Kluyveromyces lactis: one gene and its partners. The protein of the gene in region 1 purifies or fractionates together with the protein of each later gene. This does not show direct contact. Links are inferred from orthologs where the notes say so. Each region holds a gene or a part of one and is shown on either strand. Other genes may lie near its edges.

Region 1 (4,302 bases):
AGGAATCAGAGATACTGAGCGAAAGTAGTAGAGGAATCAGTTAAATAAAAAACAGATTGAGAACAGCATCATAGAGCGTGTTGATAAAAAAATAGATCCTGAACGGAAGAAGGAACTATTCGGATTGAGTGACGAACCATATACCAACTTTGAGTTTTTATTTTTATTTGGCTTTTGGTTTCTAGCATTTAGCATCAGAGAGCAAACTTGGTAGATACAATCTTTTCAATAAAAATGTCTAACCCATTCCAAAATATTGGTAGAAACTTTGCGTATTTGTGTATTGGTCTTACTGCTTCTATAGTTATCGTCAAGACCGTTGTACGTGATGCTAAAGTTTCCAAGTTCGACCCGCAGAATTTGAGTGGGGATGAGAAGAAAGATGCAGATTCTTATTACGCAAACCCTGCTCTGGTGAAACCAGGGTTCCCCATGAAGAAAGAAGAAGAAACCACGGAAATAAAAAGGAAAAGTGAATTTGAAGGGGCCGGTTTATCCTACAATACAAGAAAGCGTGGTGATAGATTAGGGTTCTTGGATAGAAGAAGTAACGAATGATTAATAAGCAAGATTTTAATTCTGCAAGGCAATACACGAACCTACCCATCACACTTATTTATTAACAACACACACAAACACTGCAATGACTAAATGAAACAATCTAGAAATATATCCTGTTCTTTACTGAAAGATTCCTCATGTAAATAGTGCTTAAAGAAAGTGAAATAAAATACAAACTATTGATATCAATATTATAATAAAGTTTAGCTAGGTAAGAAAAGATAGGCCGAGCACATAAGAAAGATACGGATTTTTTTGATTGAGAAACCACGCAGTCACACCGGTTGAAATTGAGGAATATAAAACAAACAACAAATGAACTGAACTTCTAGGATGTCTAACGAATAGATTCGAAAGCAGAGACAATCCGTTCGTTATTAAGGAAGACTTTATAATTTCTCAGTCCAGTAATTTCAAGAACGCAATATCTTATTTGGATTCTTCAAAATAGTCAGCCATTTCCTTGTCTAAGTCTTCCAAAGACTTCTTTTCTGGCTTAGCTCTTTTCTTTTGCTTAGCAGCAATGGCTTTCTTGTTTGGACCGGCTGGTTTCTTCTTAGGTTGAGGCTTTGTTGGAGCTGCCTTCTTGTTTGGCGCGGCAGCCTGAGCATTCTGTACAGGGCGGATTCTGTCCAATAATGTCTTTCTGCTTGGATCGACAATCAACGTCAATCTCAATTTGGATTTACCACCATCAATTGGTGCGTTGTGGAATTTCTTTACAGCTAAGTTAGCTTGTTCTGCGTTCTTAAAGGTAATAGTGGCCATACCAGTGGAGTTACCCCTTTCGTTGTAACTCAACAAAGCTTTTTGGACACCACCGACTTGATGGTTGAAAAATTCCTAGTAATAATAAGGGAGCAAAATTTTTGTTAGTGAAACTATTCATAGATAACTGAAAACAGCGGAGTCTTCAATGAATAGTCCTGTAGGAAATCATTCATGTTTACAATTCATCATACATGTACGACCCGGTCAATTCTGTCACGATATGAAGTTAACTCTTAAACAGTAAAATATACCACAAATGGGTTTCATTAGGTTTCGATTTGAAGGTAGGATCTAACATGACAACCAACAAAAAGTAAGTATACTATAACTTTTCTCTTTTCTATTTTTTTTCTTGGAGAGTAAATCTGGAGTCAGTGATGAGATCTCAACCAGACAAGATAGAACATGTTCATAGCAGAATGACAAATGAAAATCGATTTCAAATCCAGCATACCCATCTCGATTTATTACATTCATTGAAACTTGCTTTTCAGTGGCGTTTCAATTTTTGCCAATTTTTTTGAAGTTGTCAAACACGACGACCTTGCTAAAAATGTCGCACTATCTTGAAGATTGAGGCATCAAGCTAAACACACACCAAGGAAGAGGTCAAACTTAATTGTTCCTACAAGGTGTACACCAAGTAATCTTCTTCAAATTCCCAGTTCTTTGCAAAGAGTTAGAAAAAAGAGAATAATACACTGGGCATCATTAAAAAATAGATGCATTGCCAAATGTAATAAATGGTAACAGAAACTCCAGTGACACATAATGTCACAAGAATAGAAGATATGACGAGAAAAAATAGATATACTTCATCTTTTCGGCATTTCCCAATCGTGATTCACTACCGTTTCTCCATCAAATAAAATGTCGTAAATAAACGAAGTTCAGTGCATAATTTTGATGAAAAGTTCTGTCAACTTAGAGGAGAAAAACGGAAAGAAATCACAAAGGAAGGCTTGCTGAAAAGCGAAACCCAGCCAATTGGATAGCTAATTTCGTTTTGTTATATTTCATTAGCTCAATAAAAACTAACTCTGAAATAAATTATTCACACATCAATATCAGACCTCAAAAAAGGTATCGATCGACCGTTTCTTCTTAATCAAATACACGGGAATGTATGATCGTATAGTAAACATAAGGATGGAATTCCACAGGATATATCCGTTGTAAACTTAAATTAACCGCAAGTCTTATTGCAGTTTGATCCGATTTGTTTTCGCAATCAGTACAGTAGCATCTCGACAGTCCTTTTCATTAGAAAAGAACCTACTAAGAGGCCATGGCTAAAATGGGACATACTTTAACAGCGTCTTGGTTAATGTCTCTTGGCAAACCCTCGACATTAACTCTAGTAGAAATAGGAGCTCTTAGCAAAGCTGGCACTAGGGCAGCAGCAGAAGCAGCCTTCTTTGGAACTCTAGAAGGACCGGCACCTGTTCTGGTACGGCTCTTGTTGACTTGCTTAGAAACCTTCTTTGGCCCGGCCTTGTTGTTTCTTCTGGCATGCTTGGCTGAGCCAATAATTTCATCTAATGATTGATCTAGAGCAGACATTGCTTATGAGAGTGTAAAAAAAAGAATCTGATGGGTAGCTGATTCGAAGGAAATAACTTATAAAGTTGCTTGCCTTATGAAGTAGAAACAAAGAGAAATTTGAAGAACAACTTTCATGGAAAAAGGGAAAAAAATTCCAATGGGCAAAAATCTATGGCTCCTTTTATACAAAAAAAATCAAATATCAAACTTTTTGTCCAATTCTTTTCAAGAAAATCAAAACCAGCACGATCAACAAAAGAGGGTAACGATTGTCATTTTCTAAGATCTGCTGCATATGTAACGGTGTACTTACTTCATTCCTGACATGATAAAGATTTTTGTGAATAACAGTCATTTCAAAGACTAAAGATAATGCTCCATAATTTCGTCGAGGGGACTCATTTGTTTCCAACAAACATCGTTTAGCTTTATTTCGTGAATTGTAAGGCCGCAACAACTGAAAAGTAAAATCCGTTGATATATAAGATAGACAGCTATTCGATCAATCTTATGTTCAAATGGATCGCTTCCGCAGATAGACCCAAGTAGGCTGTGGCGGGAATCTTACAACGCTTAGTATCCAAACATTCTTCTATGCCTTCCTGTCATAAGCGAATAGAAGCCGAATTGAATCCATTTACAGTCCGGGTAATTTCATGATTATTTCACTGTTAGCGATATTATTTGGTTCATTTTATTTGATCGGTTCAAAAAGAAAGACGATGATGGGTCAAAATCGTGCTATTTTACAGCGAAATGATACAGACGTCTCACTGGCAAGTTAAATCTCCGAACGACGGTCAGGTGGTAAACGGACTGACTCTGTAATTAAAGAGGAAAGACCGCGCGTTCACCAGTTATGAAACACTCTTCCAAGGTAAAAACAGGATTGAACTTTCACCTACGACAATCTCAAAATGAACACACACACTCTAACCCCAATGTTCAATTTATAATAGCGGCAGAATTTGATAACAAATCTGGGCCGATAATAAAGCATCAATATCCAAAGACAATCCCTGGTTTTAAAACTATTGGGAGTGATTCCACTTGTTCTCATTTGGCCAGTTTGATGATACCGAATAGTGTGGAGAACCATCCAGGTAAACCAGATTTCACTGTTTTTGTCTTATACAAGAATCAAAACGTTTACCAGTTGTTTCCTGTATCCAAAAATAAGACTAAAGGTACTGACTTGGATTCCTCACTGATAATTGAAGAGGAAGACTTTGAAGAAGAACAAGAAAATGGACTGCGAAGTGGTAAGATTGGATCAATTAGAGATGATAGGCATTTAGAGGAAACTGAGCCACCATTATTTTTCTTAAGTGTCGTGAACACGTTTTTAGATAATTCAAATGATCGCGGTGCTTATATAAAAGCCATTGCACTGGGTACTACTATGACAAACTTTTACACATTTAA
Region 2 (4,545 bases), on another chromosome or scaffold:
TAATAGTTTTAGAGACATCTGCATGCTTTTGCAATTCAAGTTCGTAGCTCCGTTGACTCTCATTTGCATATTGCGTTTGCATTTCTAGATCTTTCTGAATCATTGCAATTTTTTCTTCGTAGTCAGCCTTAGTTCGATCCACAGATTCTTTCACCATCTGAAGCTTACTGATTTCTTCCATTGTTGCGTTCCTCTCAGTTTGGTATTCTGATTTTTGATGGAAAATTTCGTTATTCAGGTCTTTCACCTGATCGTTGAGAATATTGACAGTACTCTGTAATTGATTTCTTTCGTTTTCTAGAGTGATTATTGTCTTCTGAGATTCCTTCTGGGCCTCTTCAAAGGCCTGGCTTACTTCATTAACGGATTGCACGGACTGTTCCGCCAGAGTTTTATGATGCTCTATTTGTGAATATGAATCAGAAAGTTGCAAGTTAACCTTTTCCAATTCCTGTCTCAAAGTCTCAACTAGGTTTTGAGCATCATCGACATTACTTAACATCGTATATGATTGTGCCCGTGCCTCGGCCTCCTTGAGTTTTGCGGATTGTTCATTGATAGTGGATTGCATTTTCTGAAGTTGAGCTTCTTTTTCTTCTAAGGTCGTTTTCTGTTGAGCTGCCTCACTAGTTAACTTATCAATCTTTTCTTGAAACCAATTATATTGATGCTCTTTATTGCTAGCAATTCCTGTGGTGTTTTTTTCAATTTCTTCAAGGCGTTCGAGTGAACCAGACAACTCAATTTCCAATTTTCTAAGCTTTTCCTTATAAGAATTCTGAGTTTCCTTGAGTAACATTTCTCTCTCACGTTGGAGTGTCTGAAGTTGCGCAATTAACACCTTGTATTCGACACTTTCTTTGGAAAATCTTTCGTTCTCTGCCTTCAGTTCCTTTTGAACCTTTGCCATAAACTGTTTTTCAGACTTCAAGATGGATAGTTCCGATTGTATAGATGACAAAGTGGATTTCGTTTTGATTAAGGAATCTACAGTCTCCTGTGTACGTTTGTCCTGTTTTGTTAAAATATCTTGTAGATCAGATGATCTTTTTTGTAGCTCCTCACATTGGCGTTTGGAAAGCTCTAAAGTTGATTGTAATAGATTTAACCTATCTTCTGCAAGAGTACGTGAAGTTTTCTCAGATTCGAAATTAAGTGATATTTCATATAATTTCTTACGCAGGTTGCTGTTTTCTGATGACCATTCCTTGGCATTATTCTCTGCTTCTTGAATGACAGCGGTGAGTCTTGTTTCGAGATCCTTCACTTTATCGTCATTATCAGGAGAAGGGTAAGTAATGGCCTTAGGTGTGTTTGTGCCAGAGCTAGCATTTACTGACAATGCCTTGTATGCGTCCCTCTCCTTTGATAGAATGACTAGTTGGTTTTCAAGGTTCTGTGCATGATCATGAAGTGTAAGAATGGTTTCTTTTGCCTCTCTCACCGTTTCATCCTCTAATACCTGGATTTGAGATTTGTTTTCAGCTTCCCTGCGTTCTAATTCATCAGCAAGATTGCGAATTGTAGAAAGAAGTTCGGAGTTTTTCTGCTGCAACTCAACTACTGATCTAAATTCTACTAGTCGATCGGTTATAATGCCTTGAGTGTCAGAGGTCTTTGTTATTTCTTGAGAGTTGGTTAGATTTTTGACAAATTGCAATTCTTCAGCGGATAATGGTCCGCCATCCTCTGACTTAATAGATTCGTTCACGAGTAAGTACTGTATCTGATGGGCAAGGTCAACACGTTGCTTAGATAGGGAGGCTATTTGAGTCTCATAGCTTTTCACAGTAGCTTTCAAATAATCAAGTTGTGACGACTTTTGATCACGGTCTTTGCCAGTTGACTCTAACAAAATAGTAACCTCATTTAACTCTCTTTCAAGCATTTCACTTCTCTCTTTGAAGGAATTGAGAACAGGGATTTTATGCTCTAATTCAACAACGAATGCTTCCACTTGCATTTTTAACTCGTCTTTTTGTCTTTTCTCAATAACCAGCTGTTTTTTGAGCATTCCCAAATCACCATATAACTTAGGTATGACAGAAACCGATTTTTCTGAAGACGCAGTGGTATTACCAACTTCGGAGTCTTCTAATTTTATGTTGGATGTTAATTCATCGATTGTCTCCTTAAGTTTTATGCAGTTAGATTCAGATGCGTCTAAACGATATTTGACCGCATTGAGCTCTTCAATGAGCTCGTCTCTTTCTTTTTCGGTGAAATATGATGAGTCCATGTTATTCTTTGTAGCATCCATTTCTTTCTTCAATGATTCCATATGTTTCTCTAGAGCATCAATCATTCTCTGCTTTAAAGACATCTCTTTCGTAAGCTCTTGTTTAGAGAAATTGTACTCATCTTTAATTTCTTTGTTCTCGGAAAGTTTTTGCTCCAGTTGTTCATGTAAACTGTGTACCGATTGTTTTAGTTTCTGATTACTGGTTCGAGCTATTTCCAACTCTGATTCCATATTCGATACCTTTAACTGAGAATCTTGTAATTCACTAATTGTGCTTTCTCTAAACTCATTGAGTTGTACGGTCTTGGTATTTAACTGATTGGTCAACCAGTCATTGTTTTCTCTCAATAATGTGATTTCTTGTTCCATCCTTAAAATCTCGCTTTTCGAACGTAGCTCTAAGGCCTGCTGAGTTTGTAGCTCAGTTTCAGTATTGACGACTTTTTGTCTAAGTTCCTTATTCGCTCCCTGTGCTTCATTCAATTTAGCTTTGGTAGAACTGAGTTCTTCAATTTTTTCGTTTAGTGACTCTGCAATATCTTGCTTAGAAGCGTCAGCAAGTTCTTTTTGTTGCCTCTCTACTTCTATTTCTTGTTCCAATTCTATGATTCTTTTGGTCACTTGTGAATTTCCTTCAATTAGACGCCTTTTCTCTTCTTCAAAGTGTAAGCGCTCATCCTTCCCATCTTCCAATGCCTTGGCTAGTTGAGAGATGTGAATTTTGAATGATTCTAGTTTGTTCTCTGATTGAGATTTTAATTGATCCAAGGTAGCAGTTATTCTTAGGTTTTCAGATTTTTGTTTCCGAAGATCTTCCAACTTCTCCTCAATCCTACCTAAAACATCATTATTAATGTCTTGTATCAGTTGCTGGTCGACTTGTAGAAAGTCTGCGACCCTAGAGGCAATGGGTTCTACGGACATTCTCAACTCCACAACACAACAATGGAATAGCAATCTATAAGACGCTACTTTTACCTAGTGTTCAAGCTAATCGCTATGATATTCAATTAGAAGTATACTAAAAATTTCTGCAGGTATACATGAGCATATACAATGCACATAGGCTTTGTTCTTGACAGGTAATTTTTGTTCAATTTCAATATTAGGTCCAATTCGGTGAAATTCAAAATAACGACCAGATACCACGAACTGACTGCAGAACGAAATACAGAAGTCGTATCTAAACTAACAATCAGGGTAACCGGTACCAGTAAAATTCTACGTTCCAAGTTGGGACGGTTTGCAACAACATCCGTGCACTATTCAACAGTGTGTCTGGGTGTATAAATTTCGGGGCTTGACAATTAAAAATGCATATATTCCTCAAAACGGTATTTTTATTTTCTAATTGCAGAAATCACTTCGTTTTTGCTCGTTGTCGATTCCTCAGGTTCACCAACTTTCTATGTACCAAACCCAGATTGAGGAAAGCAAGCAAGAATTCATACTCAAAGTATTTTGGATTATATCATTTAATCATACGCACTTAAGATAGCTGTACTTAGTTGTTGATTACTATCAAAAAGATCAGGAAAGGACAAGATTCAAAAATGCAAATGTATGCACAATATGATAAGCAAAAGGCATCTTATTTTGGGGTTTCTTGGTGATTCAAGACGGTTTATGCTACTTTGAAATGGGACGAAAGCACATTAGCTAAAAAACAACAAGACGAACTCGGATAACAACTAATGAAAATGACAAGGATTTACTGTGTTTGGTGTAACATATATCATGATAGTCGCTATCCTGTGAGAACTTGAGCGTTTCATTTCGGAGAGTGTGAGTACGCGGTCTAAACTGTTGAGTGAGATATATGTCACGATTTCTTCAAACGAAAGCAAGTACGCTTTGCAGAATGAATAAGGATACAAGGAAGCAGTTTAATGGGACCTATCACCTCCTAACTATCAAATGCACAACAATTCATACCTACAGAGGGAATTTTTTTTGGTTTTTTATTAAGCTTTACTAATCTAGCAAAATTAACTTGAACGTTCACTAATTCTAGGAATCGTCCCAATAAGATTGCCTTAAGAACTTTGTTCTGATCGAGTTTCAAACTTTTACTAACAAATCATATCTTTTTGAAAACAGTTTCGTCAAGACCTTGACTGGTAAGACCATCACTTTGGAAGTCGAATCTTCCGACACCATTGACAATGTCAAGTCTAAGATTCAAGACAAGGAAGGTATCCCACCAGACCAACAAAGATTGATCTTTGCTGGTAAGCAATTGGAAGATGGTAGAACCTTGTCTGACTACAACATCCAAAAGGAATCCACTTTGCACTTGGTTT
Region 3 (4,006 bases), on another chromosome or scaffold:
ATGAAAAGAACTTCAAGATCCTCGAACCTGAACGATGATCCTCCAAGTTTCTACACGGAAGATATGAGCAAAAATGCAAGACTTGTTGAGCTAACATTTCACTCGCAGGAAGATTTACCGGAAAGTCCTTTTTATACTCCACAAACAGAAGAAACCAAACCTAGTGAACACGGCCATGAAGAAACAAATGTGGATCACTTAGTTCCACCAGAATCAACCATAAAATTACCGACGGAAACGACCAATAGCCAAGATGAACCTGCACCATTATTAGATGATTTAGAGTTCAGTTTCTTCCACATGTCATTTGACAATACCAATAACACTTCCACTAGAGAGTCTACTATGGATACTGGCGATGTTTTTGAAAATAAAAATGTTCTACCTCGGAAGGTAGCAGAGCCTGTATTCTACAAATTCGACAATTTCACCAAATCCAACGAATCCTTTTTTTCAGCTCACGATAAAGTACACCCAACAGCAGTTGAAAACGACGATGAGCCAATCTGGGTTTCTCCAAGCAAATTGGATATGTTTGACATCAGTAATAAATCAGACACATTTTTCAAGAGTTTACAACCACCAGCTTCAAAAAAAGCTGCTCCTAAGGCTGCTGCTTTCGGTGCTTTGACCGACGAAAACAACGGCAAACATGATGAACCCTCTTTCCTAAGAGATTCTTCCTATGACTACTTAGGTGGCGTTTTAGCAGAAGATGATGAAACAAAACCAACGCGATTGCAGTTCAGCGCTTAGTCCCTATGGAGAAAACGTAGAAGTTTGAATAGGTTATTAATTAGTGATATTACCTCAAGTAATGCCCGCTAGATATCAAAATATAAAACATGATTATTTAGAAGTTAGAATTAGAATCTGGCATAAGTCACCTTTAACTCATGATCTCCATAGGAGTATTTGTCCAATTTGCTGATACATATATCTGCGTCCTCTGGTGTTTCAAATTGACAATATGAGTTCCTTGTGAAATGACCTTCAGGATTCAACAGTAATTTCGTTATTATAACCGGTGCAACACTGCCAAATAGGTCATATAAATCAGATTCAGTGGTAGAAGATGGCATATTTTCGCAGAAGATTACAGAGTTTCTATCACCACCCGTAGTTATAGCCAGAGGATCGATATCTAGTGGTTTTGGTTTAAGAGTTGCTGGTGGTTCATTACGTGGTTGACGAGGGATGTAAGTATCGGCACCAGTGGCTGCAGTACGTGTAGAAGTTCCTTTACCTTCTTTAACATCTAATACACGGCCCTTATACTCTGTACCAGTCCAATGACGAATAGCATCATTTTGTTGTTCTTTGGTAGCCATATAGACCGTACCAAAACCTCTTGACTTACCGTCACGATCAGTGACAACATCAGCATGCAAAACATCACCGCACGGTTTGAACATATCTTTTAATTCTTGCCAATTAACAGAGAATGGTAGCTGTGCCACGAAAACTTCGAAACCTTCATCGTGAGCACGTTTTGGAGGAGGCGGTGGGCCGTTATTATTTCCAGTTCTCGAGATTTCAGCAGGAGGTGGATTATCTTGCCTGACAAAAATGGCACGTCCGTTCAAAAAGGCACCATCACAATCTCTAATGGCCGTATCGACGTCAGTACTGTTATTGAATTCCACAGTACCCATGCCCCTGTGATGACCTCTAGAAGTAATAATATCTGCTCTGCGAACTTCACCGATCTTACCAAAATATTCCTTCAAATCCTCTGGTGTAGTATTATATGTAAGGTTACCGATGAAGATACTGTTGGCATAGTTTCTGTTTACTTTTTCATCATATGGAGAATCGAGCTCTCTCGCTAATTTCGGTCCATAGTCTCCTTTAGCGGCGGCAGCAGCAGCAGTAGCAGCTCCTCCTCGATCATATCTCGAGGATCTACCACGGCCATATCTACCACTGTTATAACCTTGATTCTCGTACCCATTGTCCCTTCCAACAGAACGGTATCCACGATTTACAGATCTTCCACCCGAATATCTGTCTCCGTCCCTATCTCTTGAATAAGTGTCCCTGTTATATCCTTCAGATCTTCTGTTATCTCCGCTGTAGTTTCCTCTTCTATCATCCCTATAGCTACGATCAGGATAACCGCCTCTGCGTGGATCTTCGTTTCCTGATCTTGCTACAGGTGATCTAGATCTCGATCTCTCTCTTGACTATATTAATAAAGGCCAGAAAAAAGTAATTAATGGCAACTCATATAGTAACCAGTTAGTATCACATGTTAACGCTTGAAGCAGAAGCCTAGAAATGAACTAATCTTTAGATTTGCAGCAAAGATGTATTACAGCCAATGACTAGTATGTTTCCTGCGCAGTAGTTTTCCTTAGGTATACTGGAAACTAAAAGCACTTATAATAGCGACACCTGCCACAATCTTAGCCAAAAAACAAGCAGAATTAAACCATCGCATACCCAGTGTCAATAGATGCATAATATCAATAAACCTTACCAGCTTGGATATCTGTTCTTTGATAATTCATTGAGCAACAACTGTCGGTGATAATACTATAGATATGGTATGATCATTGTGTAGCAGTCTAAACAGCCATTTCACACCAATTCCTTTTCAAAAATACAACATACGTATGAACTCATATTTAACTACCAGCCACAACCGTCTAGCAGCAGTCTTGAAATTATTTCACGACGTTTAGCAATGTCATAACGAAGTTCTTTTCAGTGCTGAATGTTTTCACAGATTTAATTCCTTCTGAATTTTTTTCGAGGTTTAGATGTGTTAATGAATAAAAAGAGACGTGCATGATATAAAGAATGCCGCATGTCATGTGACTCAATGCAAGTTAAAGCGTGGCAAGAAGGGAGAGTATAAGACCTGTAAAAGGGCATATTACGTCCAGGTGGTTGGTGTTGGTATAATATAATATATTATTGAGATGGCAGACACTACTCCGGACACTGCAGTCTCTAATGTGACCGAACCTGCCAAGAAGAAGAGGAAGTATTCCAAAAATGGATGCCTTGAATGTAAGAGAAAGAAGGTTAAATGTGATGAGACGAAGCCTATGTGTTGGCAGTGCACGCATTTGTCTCTTGAATGTGTTTATAAGACCAAAGAGTTTCAATTTGTTGTTTCTGGGGGACCCAATAAATCTCGAGTAAACTCTAAAGTGACCTCAGTCTCGGATAAAAAGAGAAAGAATAAGGAAGATGGCGATCTGCATAGGAAAAACATGGAACATCATTCATCATCTGATACTAGAAAACTCTCGAACAATGAACGTGACGTGGATTTTGAGCATGCTGCAACCAATGCGATTGGTAATGACGAAGATGATTTGAATGCGCTATTGAACGATGCGCTTCTCTTTGCTAATGATTTATTCTCCAAGCTGCCCGAAACAGACGCCGTGACCGCAAACCAAGGCCAACAGAAAAGTATCAGTTCTATCAATGATGACATAGGCGGGCCCGTGTTCAACAGATGGGAAGAGATCGAAGGAATGTTAGGAGAGGTATCAAAATCGGAATTATCATATTTGAAGATATTTTATGACAATGTATCATACTGGTTGATGCCGCTAGCACAATCACCGGATTCTAACATTTGTAACCATATCTTATTCCAGCACGTAATAAGAGCAAATAAAAAACACGCCCGAGAAAAGTCTTACTTACAGAGTTCGATGGTGTCAATCAGTGCTAAATATGTCTACAATGTTTACGGGAAAGAGCATGATAATATAATTAGGAAACATTTCTTGAGAAAAGCACTACAGCAATTGTACCAAGAATTCGAATCTCTATCCCAAGAATCATTGGGGTTTTCACAGATAGACTCTTTGAATTTATGTGTGCTATTGTTGACATTGGATAGTTCAACGTTTGGAACTCAAGAATGGAAATTCCATCTACGAGGAGCTAAGGATCTACTTATGAAATACAACGACAACAGAGAAATGGTGACTGGAAGCACTGGGAGCACACTTTTGCATAGGAGGACTGTAACACTAGC
Region 4 (4,611 bases), on another chromosome or scaffold:
TTCCTAAAATGTTTGAGGATGTGAATTGCCCTAAGATATCAATTACTTCTTCGATATTAAATGTTTCAGTAATGAAAGTTGCGCAAAATATGGCATCAAATGGTGAAAAAATGAGTCTAGGAACAACGCAGTGTTGCAAAAATGAGGTAATACGCTCACGGGAGAATTCGGGGAACCATGTCTCCTTGTTCATTTTAATCATGTTCTTTGTCTTTTCAAAAACGCTTGCATGCTGAGATAGATCAAATTTGACTGTCTGTATTGTGCTTAATAAACTATGCCTCTCTTTCAAAACTTTAGCAGCCTTTCTCTTGTCTTCGTAAATGATTTTCTGCTTCGTGTACAAATCTTCTTCTAATCTAATATCATATAAGGATAACCGCCAGAAATCAATGAATAGACGTTTATCAATATTTTCAAAATTGATGCCTTTGAAATCAGTCTCATATAGAATTTCGTTGATTTCATCAGCATCATTTTCAGATCTCGCCAGCTTTGTATCGAAATAATGCCTCCAGATATCAAACGCCCACTCAACAGGAAATTGATATTTCTCAATTAAAACGTTGAAAGGTAGAATATTGGCTTTGAATTGTTCTTCAGTCAAAATGTGCTTTAACATTTCAATAAATGACCAAAGTAATGCATTGGATTCATCGCATTTCGCTGATAAGATTTTATAATGAACGTTATTATCGGTTTGAATCTTAAGATTCAAATTTGTGAGCATGATAATCATTTCTGACACTGCATTAAGCTCTAACAAGTAATTGACAATAGTTTTTGAAGGTTGATAATACTTATCTCTGAAATCCAAGATAAGATTTCTACCGATTTGTTTTAAAAAGGATCCTGAGCTTATCATTAGCAAAGTGTTCCAATTTACATCATACAACGTTTGTATTCCTGCAACTTGGGAGATTAACTCCTTCAAAATAGCCAGGGTAAGCGATGGATCCTTGTAAAGATTTTTGACCAAAAACACGAATATGTTGGACATACTCATTTTAGAACAGCCTTTAGCAAGACCCGCAATGAACAAAGATAATCTGCTAATCCACATTTTGGGAGTAATACCATCATCTTGTAAAGTTGGCCTTTCCGATGTGAGCTTAATTAATAACGTATACTGTAAAACATCGTAAGCGAATTCTGAGAAAAATTCGGCACTTATGACGATTAGTTCAGAGACTTTATCATAATTTTCTATTTGTTTTAGGATAGAGTCTAGAGTTGAAAGAGGATTGCAGGACACGAAGTTAGCAACATCCCTGCACTTAAATGCAATGTTGTCAATACTCAAAGATTTTAAAAGTGACCTTATCCGCTTTTGGTACTTATTAAATTGTAACCTGACATGTATGTTGTCTTCAGCAATCTTTGTACTTAATTCATGGTACATGAAGTATCTTCTTTCGAATGGGAAGTGCTTCATAACCGAATAAATTGCATTTGCAACAAACTGCTCATCTTCGACTAGTCCTAATACTGGTAGCATAAACTTTCTGCAGTAATTAATCCATAAATCCATAACCGTTTCATCTTCTAGGTTATCTAGAATATTTTTTTCAGCTATGGCGCATATATGTTCAACAAGTTTAGCATTAAGAATAATACGTGGACCGATGCTTTCAAATATTAGATGTGAATAATGAACGAGATTCTCTATCGTTTCAATTGGAGTCAAATTCTGTCGCCAGTCTTTATTGTAAAATACAAATTCTGTCCCTTGAATGTATTTGTAGTCTTTCCCCAAAGACCTATATTGCCTGATCAACCGATCTTGTTTAGTAGGAATTCCATTGTGAGATAACTTCAAAAGAGGTCGACAATGTTCTGAAATAGCTGAAGGGCTCAACTTTACAGTCAAGGGTTCGATCATGTTGTCAAACACCTCGAGAAGAGATTTCACGAGACTATCGTTCACGGCAAAGAACCGAGGATATTTGAATAGAGCATACAATCCTGGAACAAAGTGCCCATTGACAAGTAACCTCTCTACTAGTTTCCATTTTGGTGATTTTTCAACAGTTTCTCGAAGTAGTGCTTCTTTTTCCTTCTCCGATATCCCAGTATCTGCCGCTGTATTGGTTTTATCACCTTCCGTATTTTTCGAAATGGTATTGTCTTCGTCAGTAAGGACGGAGGCCATAGCTAACGGATTAAGAGATCCCTCCAAGGATTCCTTTTCCAATGTCGTCAGCTTCCTCTCTACAAACTCATCAATGTCAGTATCGTACGGGGTCAGGCAATCGAATATAGCAGCAAAAGAGACAAACCCGCCTTTAATTAGATGAACCACTAAATCGATGTAATTTGCATCTGGTTTACCATTATTAAGGTAATTTACTATCAACCTGGTAGCTATCGGATTACCACCTTGGTTCAATTGTTCATACCGTGAGCAGTTGGCCAAATTCGAAGATGGCCAGTAGTCTGTAGATTGCAAAAGCTCAAGAATAAACTCAAAATGGTGTACGACATGATATGAAGACACTTGTAATAGTATATCCATGCACCTGATTGGGTCTAGCTTATATTTCCCCATAATATATTTCAACTGTTTACTGTAATATTGAACAGATTGGAATTTGTCAACATCTTCAAAAGCGATATTCAACAACGTTATCAGTTGACTGAAACCAGTAGAGCATTCTAGGAATAAATTTGGTTTTTGCAAAAGGAAGAACTCGGGAACGATGCTCTTTTTGAATGCGGACCAAAAATCTTTGGACCATCTTTCTGTACCCTTTGAAAGAATTTGGTCGTTCAAATAAATACACACCTCTAACTGAAGATCCTTGGCACACCCAACTAAATCATTAAACCCATTGTTCGCCTCCCAAGGGTATGAATTCGCTAACGAAACAAATAGCTCGAAGTTATATCTATCCTCGTTGCATAACGCACTAACTATTTTGCTGATAGCATCCAAATTTAAAAACTCCGATTCATCAGATTTCCCATTGATTAAGGAAAAAGCTTCCAGAAACAAATCATACACATAATCAGATTTCTGAGAACTGGCATCTAAGGAAAGGTACTGTGATATGATTGTTTCTACACCACGACTTGGTTCATCGAAAAACGTCTTGTCAAAATAAGTAACTTGTTCATCATTTGGAAGATTGGAAGCCAAATTATTCAAACAGTCGTACAATGCCATGATGAAAACAATTTACCGTGTGCCTAATTCAATTGGCAAATGCAAATACCCCTATTGCTCTTCCGTCACCAGGACGCTACAATCATGAGGTTGATGTTGCGCAATGTATGTGTTATATCTTTCACAGATTTTTAACATATTCAAATTCGATATTTGAAAAATGTCGGCATGGTGAGAATGGTAACTTGAATAGAGTTGATATCTCAAACAGGGATGAAAAGAGTCACAGCAGTCAGTATACTAGGTATTTGACTAAGTTAATGGTATCAGTGAGAACAATAGGAAGTTATAAACAATGGTATGTACTTTTTTTTTCCAATTTATGTGTAATATCCTATGCTGACCAATGATACTAACTACTGACTTAACTGCAGAGTAACAAAGTGAAAGAGGAACTGATATATGAAGATATGCGGAAGAAACATCCAGGGGTAGGGAGTGCTAGAACAACAAAGGAAGAGTGGTCTAATACGATAAGCAAGGACACATATGCCAGCTTGGCTATTCATCAGAACCTTTTAGAGTATTACACATTGGCGTCAGGATTCCCTTCCAAACGGGATGCCCAACTAACACTGTTACGAAAACTTGCAAACCCGCCAAAACCAATCAAAAGGGATATTGGAAACGATTAATGATTATTATAGATATTACACAAGTGTATTTGCAATATTTTTGTTGTTGGTACATGCGGTATTTAACGTGTATTTTATGTTAGGTGTATCGAAGTTAAAAAGCTATCGAAAACGCTTTCAGAGATTGTAATATATTTAATTAAAGTTCTGGCTGCGAAGAAATCTCTGTTAAGATTCTTCTGCCATCAATTTCGGCCTGGTTGAACCTCTTGTGTAACGTTTCTAAATCCATGTTGGAAGCAAACACCTCAGCGTGGGCTGAACCAGTAGGAAGATCGATAACTTTCAAGTCTGTAACTTTGCAGTTGCCCATCTGTTGTAACACTCTTTGTAAATTAGAAGGGTTCGTTCCTATCGGCAAATTTCGTATCTTTAAACATTTCAAACTCTCTTTCAATGAAATAACCAACTTCTTATTATTACTGTTATCACTATTGTTTCGTTGCTTAGATCTAGCTCTATTCTTCAAATTATGAAGCAAATTGACACGTTTGTTCGATTGAATTTGTTGCTTATTCTTATCTGAGCTGGCTTTCATTTTATTGCCCTGCAAATCAGCAGCTAACACAAGTTTACCACCAAGAAATGTCAATCCAGTCTTTGCTTTGGCCTTTTCTGCCTTTGCTTTCTCTGCCCTTTCCAAAGTCTGCTTCTTCTGTAATACGGGATTTTGGCCACTAGAATTTCCAACACGCCCAAACAACGAGTTAGAACCTTTCCCTACACCTTTTCCTCCCCCATTCCTGGACTTCGAATTACCATTCCGATGCTGCGATGCCATATTTACAATAAAGGACACACAACAGAATT

Evidence for each region.
Region 2: the proteins of YRA1 (region 1) and MLP2 purify together in Saccharomyces cerevisiae (affinity purification with mass spectrometry; 3 studies listed by BioGRID, with this or other methods). This does not show direct contact. The link is inferred for Kluyveromyces lactis from reciprocal best matches to the Saccharomyces cerevisiae genes YRA1 and MLP1.
Region 3: the proteins of YRA1 (region 1) and KLLA0_D05016g purify together in Saccharomyces cerevisiae (affinity purification with mass spectrometry; 3 studies listed by BioGRID, with this or other methods). This does not show direct contact. The link is inferred for Kluyveromyces lactis from reciprocal best matches to the Saccharomyces cerevisiae genes YRA1 and HRB1.
Region 4: the proteins of YRA1 (region 1) and THO2 purify together in Saccharomyces cerevisiae (affinity purification with mass spectrometry; 4 studies listed by BioGRID, with this or other methods). This does not show direct contact. The link is inferred for Kluyveromyces lactis from reciprocal best matches to the Saccharomyces cerevisiae genes YRA1 and THO2.

The regions. Positions count from the first base shown.
Region 1 is NC_006041.1:255,552-259,853, reverse strand, and holds YRA1 (RNA-binding protein YRA1), read right to left. Parts: upstream 2,896-4,302; coding exon 2,641-2,895; intron 1,405-2,640; coding exon 991-1,404; downstream 1-990. Other genes in the region: COI1 (Coi1p), read left to right, coding at 235-558; AFI1 (Afi1p), read left to right, coding at 3,737-4,302. UniProt on the Saccharomyces cerevisiae protein: RNA-binding RNA annealing protein. May have a role in pre-mRNA metabolism. Component the TREX complex, which operates in coupling transcription elongation to mRNA export.
Region 2 is NC_006037.1:55,385-59,929, forward strand, and holds the start of MLP2 (Mlp2p), read right to left. Parts: upstream 3,167-4,545; coding exon 1-3,166. Other genes in the region: RPL40A (ubiquitin-60S ribosomal protein L40 fusion protein), read left to right, coding at 3,796-3,803, 4,343-4,545. UniProt on the Saccharomyces cerevisiae protein: Together with the closely related MLP2, involved in the structural and functional organization of perinuclear chromatin. Together with MLP2, associates with the nuclear pore complex and form filamentous structures along the nuclear periphery.
Region 3 is NC_006040.1:430,726-434,731, forward strand, and holds KLLA0_D05016g (uncharacterized protein), read right to left. Parts: upstream 2,629-4,006; coding exon 2,617-2,628; intron 2,187-2,616; coding exon 867-2,186; downstream 1-866. Other genes in the region: BUD3 (Bud3p), read left to right, coding at 1-756; KLLA0_D05038g (Zn(II)2Cys6 transcription factor), read left to right, coding at 2,928-4,006. UniProt on the Saccharomyces cerevisiae protein: Binds to intron-containing transcripts and is involved in quality control for the export of spliced mRNAs from the nucleus. Binds to pre-mRNAs until splicing is completed or until faulty mRNAs are degraded.
Region 4 is NC_006037.1:1,000,315-1,004,925, forward strand, and holds the start of THO2 (Tho2p), read right to left. Parts: upstream 3,167-4,611; coding exon 1-3,166. Other genes in the region: U2 snRNP complex subunit YSF3, read left to right, coding at 3,462-3,464, 3,541-3,801; KLLA0_A11616g (uncharacterized protein), read right to left, coding at 3,941-4,582. UniProt on the Saccharomyces cerevisiae protein: Component the THO subcomplex of the TREX complex, which operates in coupling transcription elongation to mRNA export. The THO complex is recruited to transcribed genes and moves along the gene with the elongating polymerase during transcription.